Linked DNA regions of Oryzias latipes. The protein of the gene in region 1 purifies or fractionates together with the protein of each later gene. This does not show direct contact. Links are inferred from orthologs where the notes say so. Each region holds a gene or a part of one and is shown on either strand. Other genes may lie near its edges.

Region 1 (4,413 bases):
AAAAAAGCGTGTGTTGCTTTTAAAACCCTTTCACTTCTGTAAAGTAGGTACATTGATGGGTAAACCTACAGGACATGCTACTTCTCCCCCTAAAAAATCCTACTTTAAGAGCTGTAGACTAGAATCAAACATTCTAAGATAAAGTTGTCAAGATTAAAAGAACATTATGAGTCAAAAAATAGTTTTTTTAGCGATATTACTTAAAACAAAACATTTTCTACAAAATGTTCAGGATATGTTGTCTTAAAACCAGTCATTTTACCACACGGAAAAGTTACTTGTGAAGTAGTTTTGTCTCATGTCAAGTACAAAAATATATTTTTGTACTAGTTTTTGTTTTTGCAGTGTAGATTTGCTTCTGTCTTTATGTTTCTGAAAGTACCGCATGTTTAATATAAGACAGAGTGTTCATCAGCTGCTCAAATTCACACTTTAGGTCACCCTAATGATCTTAATGTGACACTTCCACTGAGAAGAGGATCCAGAATCAATGAGAACCTTTACCAGGCTTCCATTGCATAACATTCCACAGATTACATAACAAAGGACAGAACACTATGGGAGGGCATGACCATTGGAGTCTTCCTATAGAAATAAATAACACAATATTCTCCTATATTTATACAACTGTCTTGTCATTGCCACTATTGCAGGAAGAGAAGACATCAAGATTAAGAGGGTGAAGCCCCAGAACTACAGTACAAAGTATTAGATCTGCCGAGAAGCGGCAGATCTGCAGTCTCTGCTGTCTCTGGAGTGACCAGAGACAGCAGAGGCCTTTTACTTTGAAAATGTTAAAACAGGTTAAAACAGGTCTAATCTAAAAGAAATGGTTTCATAAAACAATATATTTGAAAACAACACATCTAGAATAAAAATAAAGAGAGAAAAATGTGAATGGTTAGTATTTTGCCCAGTGCTCTCCACTCATCCCAGCTGACAGTCCTTAAATGGCCATGCAGTCCTGCACTCAGGACCACTATCCATGCAGAAAGGAAAGAGATCCATGAGCAGATTTAAAAGAACACACAATCATGCAAAATAAACAAATAGAAGTATTTTTTTATAAAGAAAAAAACACTGGTGTCTGGGCTACAGTGGTGCTAATAAAGATCTTTGGAAGCAACTTGCATGCTCGACCTCGGGAAGGGTGAAGCATGTTCATTCACTCTGTGTCTCCAAATGGCGGTGTACCTCCAGGTAATGCGCCTCCTCCCAGCACTCAGTTACCTGCCTCTAAACATCTTTCATTCTGTTTGGGAATAGTCCCACTTTGGCTTTGATGATTCCAGTCCACATTAATGAAACAAGAATGAAACATTTATTTATAAAAATAAAAAATAAAAATAAAAGACTACGTTTCTGCTCATGCTTCATATTTCATGCTGTAGTTTCACCGCCTCACCAGCAGAGGGCAACATACGCATAAATGTTAAACTTCGGTTGGTGGCAGGTCGATCCTCTTTCCGGAAACTACGACTTGTTTGTTTTCCGGTCTTCTCACGCAGCATGGAGAACCTGATCCACGCCGAACCAAAACACGTGAAAATGTCGGCTGAACCTCTTGCCGTCTCTGGCTCGATTCCGGTGGATCCAGCGTCCGCAGCTGCAGAAAAAGCTGCGGGCGGTGCTCCGTGTTTGGTCCCGTCTTACTCCGCCGCCGTGGAGCTGCTGTCAGCGCCGTACTCCTGCCTGGTGATGAACCCCCGCAGGAGGCACGTCGTCCTCCCGCCGGTCTACCTCCACAAGAAGAGAAGCGGAATCCAGGAGGAGCTGGAAGCGGAGCTCCTGAAGTTCTCCCAGAGGTACCCCGACATCCTTTAGTGGAGTCTGTGAAGATGAAGCGCGTTAAAAAAAAAGAGACTTTATCCATCCATCCAAATGAACTACAACACAATAAATATCTGTCTGTGTCCGGATCAATTTTAAGATGATTCATTAAGACGCACTCCAATGAAAATTCTTTTTCAAACATGTTCTTGTCACATTTTTCTCACGTTGGAGGACATATCTTAAGGAAAATTGGTATTAAAACGGCTTTTTTAAGTATTTTTTAATCTAATTGTTGTGAATCATCAGGAGCAGACGAAAAAACATGATGCTGAAGTTGGCTTCCGATTCGCGAGGGCACTAAAGAAACATTCAATGCATTTCTCGGGCTAAGATCACCTAAAACCGGTCCCTGTTAAAACACCGCTGGACCTGGACCCCTCAAACCTGGATTAAATTATACATTAGATAGTTAAGAATGCATTAAACGCAGGTTCTGATTTATTAAACCTTCTTCCGATTTGTAAAAATGTGAAAGAATGATTTGTATCGCATTTTACGCACAGAGTCCACCTCAGACCAGGTCCTGTTCAGAAACCGCTGTGTGAAAAGTGCAGTGGAATGTTTCTTTAGTGCTCCCGCGAATCAGAAGCTGTGAATCAGAAGCCAACTTCAGCATTGTCGAAAAAATGCTGTTGAAAAAAGCTTGTTATTTTTATTATCATTTTGGCTGAAAAGGACATTTACATTTCATGTATTCATTCCTAGAGTACCTTCCACCCCCAGCCTCGTAGACCCAAAGTGCTGTACACAGGGAAGGTAGAATACATCATATAAGTATAAAAACAGAGATTGAAACCAACATAACAAAAAGGCAGCTAGGCAGAGACAGCGGCGTGATGGTGGAGGAACAGTTTGGCTTTAAAGCTCTCCAAGAGTGTAACCTCTCTGTTAGCCGGTGGATGTTGAGTCAACGCACAATCCCTTTAGAACTTACATGTGGTTCTCACAATAGTAACACACACTGGTCAGCAGAGCACAAGAACTCGAGGGGAGAATATTTTAAAAGCAGACTAGGTAAGAAGATGCCGTACCTGCTAATGACAAAAACAAAAACAGGAATTTTCTTTTTCTTTTTAAAAAAAAAAACGATTGCATGGGCAGTCAGTTTAAGGAGACCAGGATTGGGGTAATGCGCTCAGATTTCTTTGTACCACGAATAAATCTGCCGGCTGCATTTTGAACTAGCTGCAGCCTCGCTATTGCGGGACACCGCATATAAGGAGCTGCAATAATTTAGCCTTGACTACACAGAAGATGCTACACAATTACAAAATCTAATTTGGATAAAAAAACCATAATCCTCGCCAAACGCTGCAGCTGAAAAAAGCAGGACCTGGTTACAGCCTTTATTTGGAGGTCCACTTTCAAGGTAGCATCGAGTTTCACGCCTAGGTTATAGACCACAGACTGTTGAAACGGGGCGAGCGAGAGGAGATGAAGACCGCGATCCTTTCGACCACGACGGGAAAACATAATTACTGCAGTTTTTGTTTCATTAAGCCCAAAGAAGTTAGCCGACATCCACTTGGCCGTCCAGTTGTTGCCTGAACAGTCGGGACATTTGCGCATAGCAACAAAGATTTGGCAGTCGTCTGCATAAAGATGGAAATCCACTTTATGCTTACTAACCAGCAGTAGTCACGTGAACATAGGTACCGTCTTACTCCGCCGCCGTGGAGCTGCTGTCAGCGCCAACCTCACCCTCATCCGACTTTTATGGTGCAATTGATAAATTTAAAAAAAAGTGTTTTATTTTTAAATATGATTATAAATGGGAATCCACCATTTGAACAACTTTATTAGCAGCATCCTCGTAATATTAGACCGCTGGTTGTTGAATGTTATGTATTATTATTATTGTCTGTGGGAACAACTGTCACAATAAATCCTTTTTTTTCTGTTAAATGCTGCTGTTTTTTTATTTTGAAGTCAAAGGATCGTCTTCTGTTTCCTCACTGGCTCTTCTCTGCAAAAAGAAACTTTCCAAATGTGTTTGTTTTTTGCTAACTGTGCTAGCTTCGGGGCTGCAGTTTGCGCACGCTTTAAGAAAGTATCGATGGATTTTCAACACGCAACCAAGCGACTTGAAGAATGAGTTGGATGCGGTGAAGAATCCAGTAGATTTTTAAAATAAAACTTCACCCAGAACTAAATAAAACAGAAATAATGGAGGTCCTGTTTTTTTCTCTGCGGCCCGGTACCATTTGTCCAACAAACTGGTACCGGTCTACCGCCCAGGGGTTGGGGATGCCTTTAACATACCTTAAGTTTACCTTAAAGAATCCGGTATTTAAGAGATACCTGAGAGCCCTGAATGTTGTCCAGAGAACCTGGAGAGTGCCATCCTCCAAGAGCGTTGGGCACTGGGTTAAGATGGTGGAGTATGATCCCCTCTGGGTTCTTTGGGATGGACAGTTTTAGGTACTAGGACCACACAGAACATTTTGTCTAGGTATTTACCTTCTTGTTTAGTTTATTCCAGTCAGCTGATGTTTGTTCGTCTGGCTGTGACACAACTTTTCTCAGCTATGTGTACATGTGCCTTGCAGTCTGAACGGAGTACCCCTGGCTTATGACAAC
Region 2 (4,137 bases), on another chromosome or scaffold:
CATTATAATGGAGCTACAGCCACCTTTACAAAGTGGAACATGATAAAACAAATATTAGCTTTGATATGATTTTTAGATTATATCCTAAAAAGTATATTTGATGTTTCGTTCTGGTGCATAAAGATTCATGTTAGAACTGTAAGAGGATCAATTATTCATGCCTGAAAACACAAAATATTTATTTCCTTTTACTCTCTTCATTCATTCATTCAAAAGCTGTAATACAAATTGTATATTCTGTCACTGTACAATTCGTTGTGATCAGCAGAGGTCCTTCTAGTCTGTCTGGGTCTCTGTGAGGGTGAGAGGGCTCTACAGAACTATTTCAAGTCAGCCATACTCCTCCAGCCAATTAATTTTTCAGTAGAGCATCAAGGCTACCTTTAAAACACAGCAAGTTCATTCATGAAGAACTTCTTTTTCTGTCTCCGTTTGGTCCATCGGCATGCTTCCTGTCTCTGCTGTTGTCCCCGTGTCTGTCAGATTTGTTCTTATCTTTGTCCAGTTCCTTATCTCGGTTTGAACGGGTGTGATGTTTATGGTCTTTGTGGCGTCCATTACTCCTGTGGTCTGTCGGAGGTGTTCTGCTGCGGTCACACCGTCTGTCACGGGACTTGTGGGTCAGGCGGTCTCTTGTTTTGGAGTCTGCGGTTCTCTGCTCATCGTTTCGCCGCTGCAGGCCGGTAGAGCGCAGAGTGTTGAGGAGAAAGCGTTTGTTGGTGCTCTGCAGGGGACATTTCAACCTGACAGAGAAGAAGACAACACAACCACTTAAAAATTCAGAATTAAGGTTTTTTTTTTAATCTAAAGTCTAATGTGAAAAGCGACAGTTATCTGATCAGTATATCTGACAGATGTATAGTCGTTTCCATTAAAGGACAAATTGTCTCCAGAGTACAATTTAAATTATAGGACAACTATTAAGGGCATGACTTTGCTTTAAGTTGGGAGTTAGATGCTCACCTTACTGCTTTTTGTATAATTTCACTTTTTGTTAGGTTCCCACATGAAAATAAAACATTATGGTATTGTGCTGTTTTTCCATGTTTTCTAACACTTAAAAATACTGGGTCATTCTTTAATTTACTACTAAATAGTGTGATAAGAGGTGCAAGTTTTCTGGAAATTACATAAACCAACTTTTTTTTAATATTCTGTAGTTTTTTTGGACCAGACCTAAAAAACAAAATAACATAAACCTCTTCATTAGAAACCCACAAAAAAGAATAAAGTCCTTCTAAATTTGTTTAAGATCTGTTAAACATACACAAATAAATCTTATCATTTCAAGAGACTCAATGAAGGGAGATCCAAAGAGAAACCCATTAACCATCAAACAGATCAAATACACAAAAAGTGAATAGGTCAATAAATAATTTCATGCAAAAGAAATCATTGTGCAACAATATACTTGCAAACATTTGTCGATCTAATTAATACAGATCAGTCAACAAATATTGGTTACCAAGATAAATCTATGATTGTAAATGCGACACAGTGTGAAAAAACTCAAACTGTAATTGTTACACAAAAGACAAGCCTTGCAGACTTCAGAGAACGTTGTCATGTAAATGTTTGGGATAGACAAAAAAATGTGAAAAGTTTAAGTTAGGTAACATTATAATTATGGACAGTCTTTTAAAAAAAAATTTTATTTGCCTTTTGTCCCCTCCTTTCAAGTGACTTTTGTAACTGCATTAAATGACGAGTGAATGACAGCTTCAGAACATTAGCTTTGACCTCTCACATCTGAAATAAATCAAGAAGAAAAAAATAGTTTTGATAAATCAGCGTCAGCCCAGAAAATAAAAATGTCTGAAAGCATATTTTCAATTCCAGGAAAGTTCACAGGGTTATACCGTTTTTTTTAGACATAGAATCACTACAGACACACAATCAATAAATAAATATTAATAATAAATTTAGTCTATATGTGTGTGCTTTTAGATGCCAAGAGAGACAAGTGTCTTTGGGAACCTGACGAATTATCTATAATAGAAAACTAGTTAAACACAAATACAACAATAATAGAAGCCTCCAAAAAAAACAGCTAAACCTATGAAGTAAGATTTTACATGGCGTTTTATGTGGAGGCTGTCAGGGATGACATTTCAGAACCATAACTCACCATCCTGCAGGGCCCATGGTCTCAGCTCTCACCCTGGCTCTGTCTGTCTCCTTGAGGAGTTCCTCTATAGCCCGTCTGGAGGAAAAGACGTAGAAAAATGCGGATAACAACAGAAGACCAAGATGACATAAAAGCTCAAGGGGAGACTAATATAATTATGTGCGAGCGAGGAAGAAAATAGGAGACGCGGAGGAAGTGAATCATAAGTAATTGGGACATCAGCGGTGTCCCCGTTTAACCCGACCAGCTGAGGCATTAGTCTCGCAGGGGGCTCTCTCTGATTCAGCCGATCTTATAGCACGTAGTGAGAACAGCTGTTGATTGCCAAAAGGCAGAGTGTGTTGACTGCTACACAAGATACACTCCGTCCCCTAACCAAAATAACCCCATAGCTACAGAAATGCATTATGCAAACATGCTAGCCTAATCTGGTGGTACCAGACACCATTCCCCCGATGTATTAGTTTAACCGAGCAAACGTAAACAAGTTAATCGATGATAATCTAAAAATAAAAAATACTTACTTTTCCAATTCATTATCTTCAGCCATTATGCCTGACCACCTAAAGACTTTAAAACGCAGAATTATTTCAGGAAATTTCTACAGGCTCATGTTAGGGGATTTATTTACCTCTGCGAGGTCCTTCTTTCGAGGACCTGATTTTATGACCAAAAGATGCCTGATCATTTCATTGTTTTATATTGTTAAACCATAACATTTTTTTTTAAATAAATAATGCATTTTTGTAAAATTCACGCCGTTTTTAGAACCCAAACATTTATTCTAAAGTAATTTAGTTACTAAAATAATAGTTGTAATTGTCACATTGAAAAACAAAAAATATTCCATGCCCTGTATGATCCCGAAGCTTTATCCGTTTATGTTATTACCTCTAACATATCGGAATCATAAACATATTAAAAGATTTTAATTCCCGCTGAATGGACGTTTTTGGGCAGGCGACATTGAAGCCACCTCTACTTTTTTTTTCTTTTTTTTGTGGATTGACAGCGGCAAACTCCGCCCAGTCTCTTTGACGGACAGCAGTGGGCGGGACCAGGCACCAAAGTGACGGGGGCGTTTTCGTGCAGGTTTGCGGAACGGGCCGTCCGTTGCGGCGACTGCGTGACTGAGGTCCCGCAGCTGCTAATTGTCCCGCCACCCCCGCCCCTCTTCGAGGCCCGGGCGCGGCGCAGAGGAGCAGCCTGAAGAGGTAACATCACATCTGCATCCTTTCACTGTAAGCGGCGTCAGTGTGTGTGATGCTGGCTTTTTCTGTTATTACCATTGTCGCCTCTTCTGTCCTCCCTTTTCGCTCCTAGGGGGGGTTGGACTCAGACAGTGAACGGGGGGTTTGAGAGATGGGGGGAGGGCTTATCTAAACATTGATGGTATCAAAAATATATATATATATATATTTTAGTAATTGCTTTGCAGATGGGGCGTTATTAAGGTAAATGCAGAAAATTGACAATAATAATTGAAAATGTAATTTACAGCAGGCTCAGTTTTTGTATTATTACTAATGCATGCAAAAAATAAATATATAATAATGTTCACATCAGTTCTCGTGCTGTCTTTGTGTGTTTAGTATTTGTAGGATGAAAGACATCCAAATGAGGTTTTTGTAAAATATCTGATACCTGGGTGCCTGATACACCTGAGTTTTTAAATGAGTGCCATAGAGTCTTTTGATCTTCTAAAAAGGAAACTCCTGCATGCCGCTGCCTAGTTCTCCCAAGATTAGATAGTAATCTGTGGGAAAATGAGAGCAAGTGCAGGACCGGTATCCTAATATAAAAAGATGAGCAAGTACAGCTTTGAACTCAGACAAGAAGGATTAAGAACGTGTCACACGCATCTGCAAGCCTTCACTTATTAAAAAAAATCAGCCCAGCGTGGCTTTTGTCTAAAATAGATTGTTTTTCAACTGCTTCCTGACTCAAAAATGCATTTACTGTTAAAACCGGAAGGCGTTATTTATTGATGAGGAGATTTCAGGGGCTTC

The links. Proteins that work in one complex are often made in the same cells at the same time.
Region 2: the proteins of twistnb (region 1) and protein POLR1D purify together in Homo sapiens (affinity purification with mass spectrometry; 3 studies listed by BioGRID and IntAct, counting the BioPlex papers as one, with this or other methods). This does not show direct contact. The link is inferred for Oryzias latipes from reciprocal best matches to the Homo sapiens genes POLR1F and POLR1D.

Annotation. Positions count from the first base shown.
Region 1 is NC_019869.2:9,793,615-9,798,027, forward strand, and holds the start of twistnb (DNA-directed RNA polymerase I subunit RPA43), read left to right. Parts: upstream 1-1,468; 5' UTR 1,469-1,509; coding exon 1,510-1,805; intron 1,806-4,382; coding exon 4,383-4,413. UniProt on the Homo sapiens protein: Component of RNA polymerase I (Pol I), a DNA-dependent RNA polymerase which synthesizes ribosomal RNA precursors using the four ribonucleoside triphosphates as substrates.
Region 2 is NC_019878.2:17,475,438-17,479,574, forward strand, and holds the start of protein POLR1D, read right to left. Parts: upstream 2,818-4,137; 5' UTR 2,760-2,817; exon of another isoform or gene 2,699-2,759; 5' UTR 2,679-2,698; coding exon 2,653-2,678; intron 2,204-2,652; coding exon 2,129-2,203; intron 744-2,128; coding exon 404-743; 3' UTR 1-403.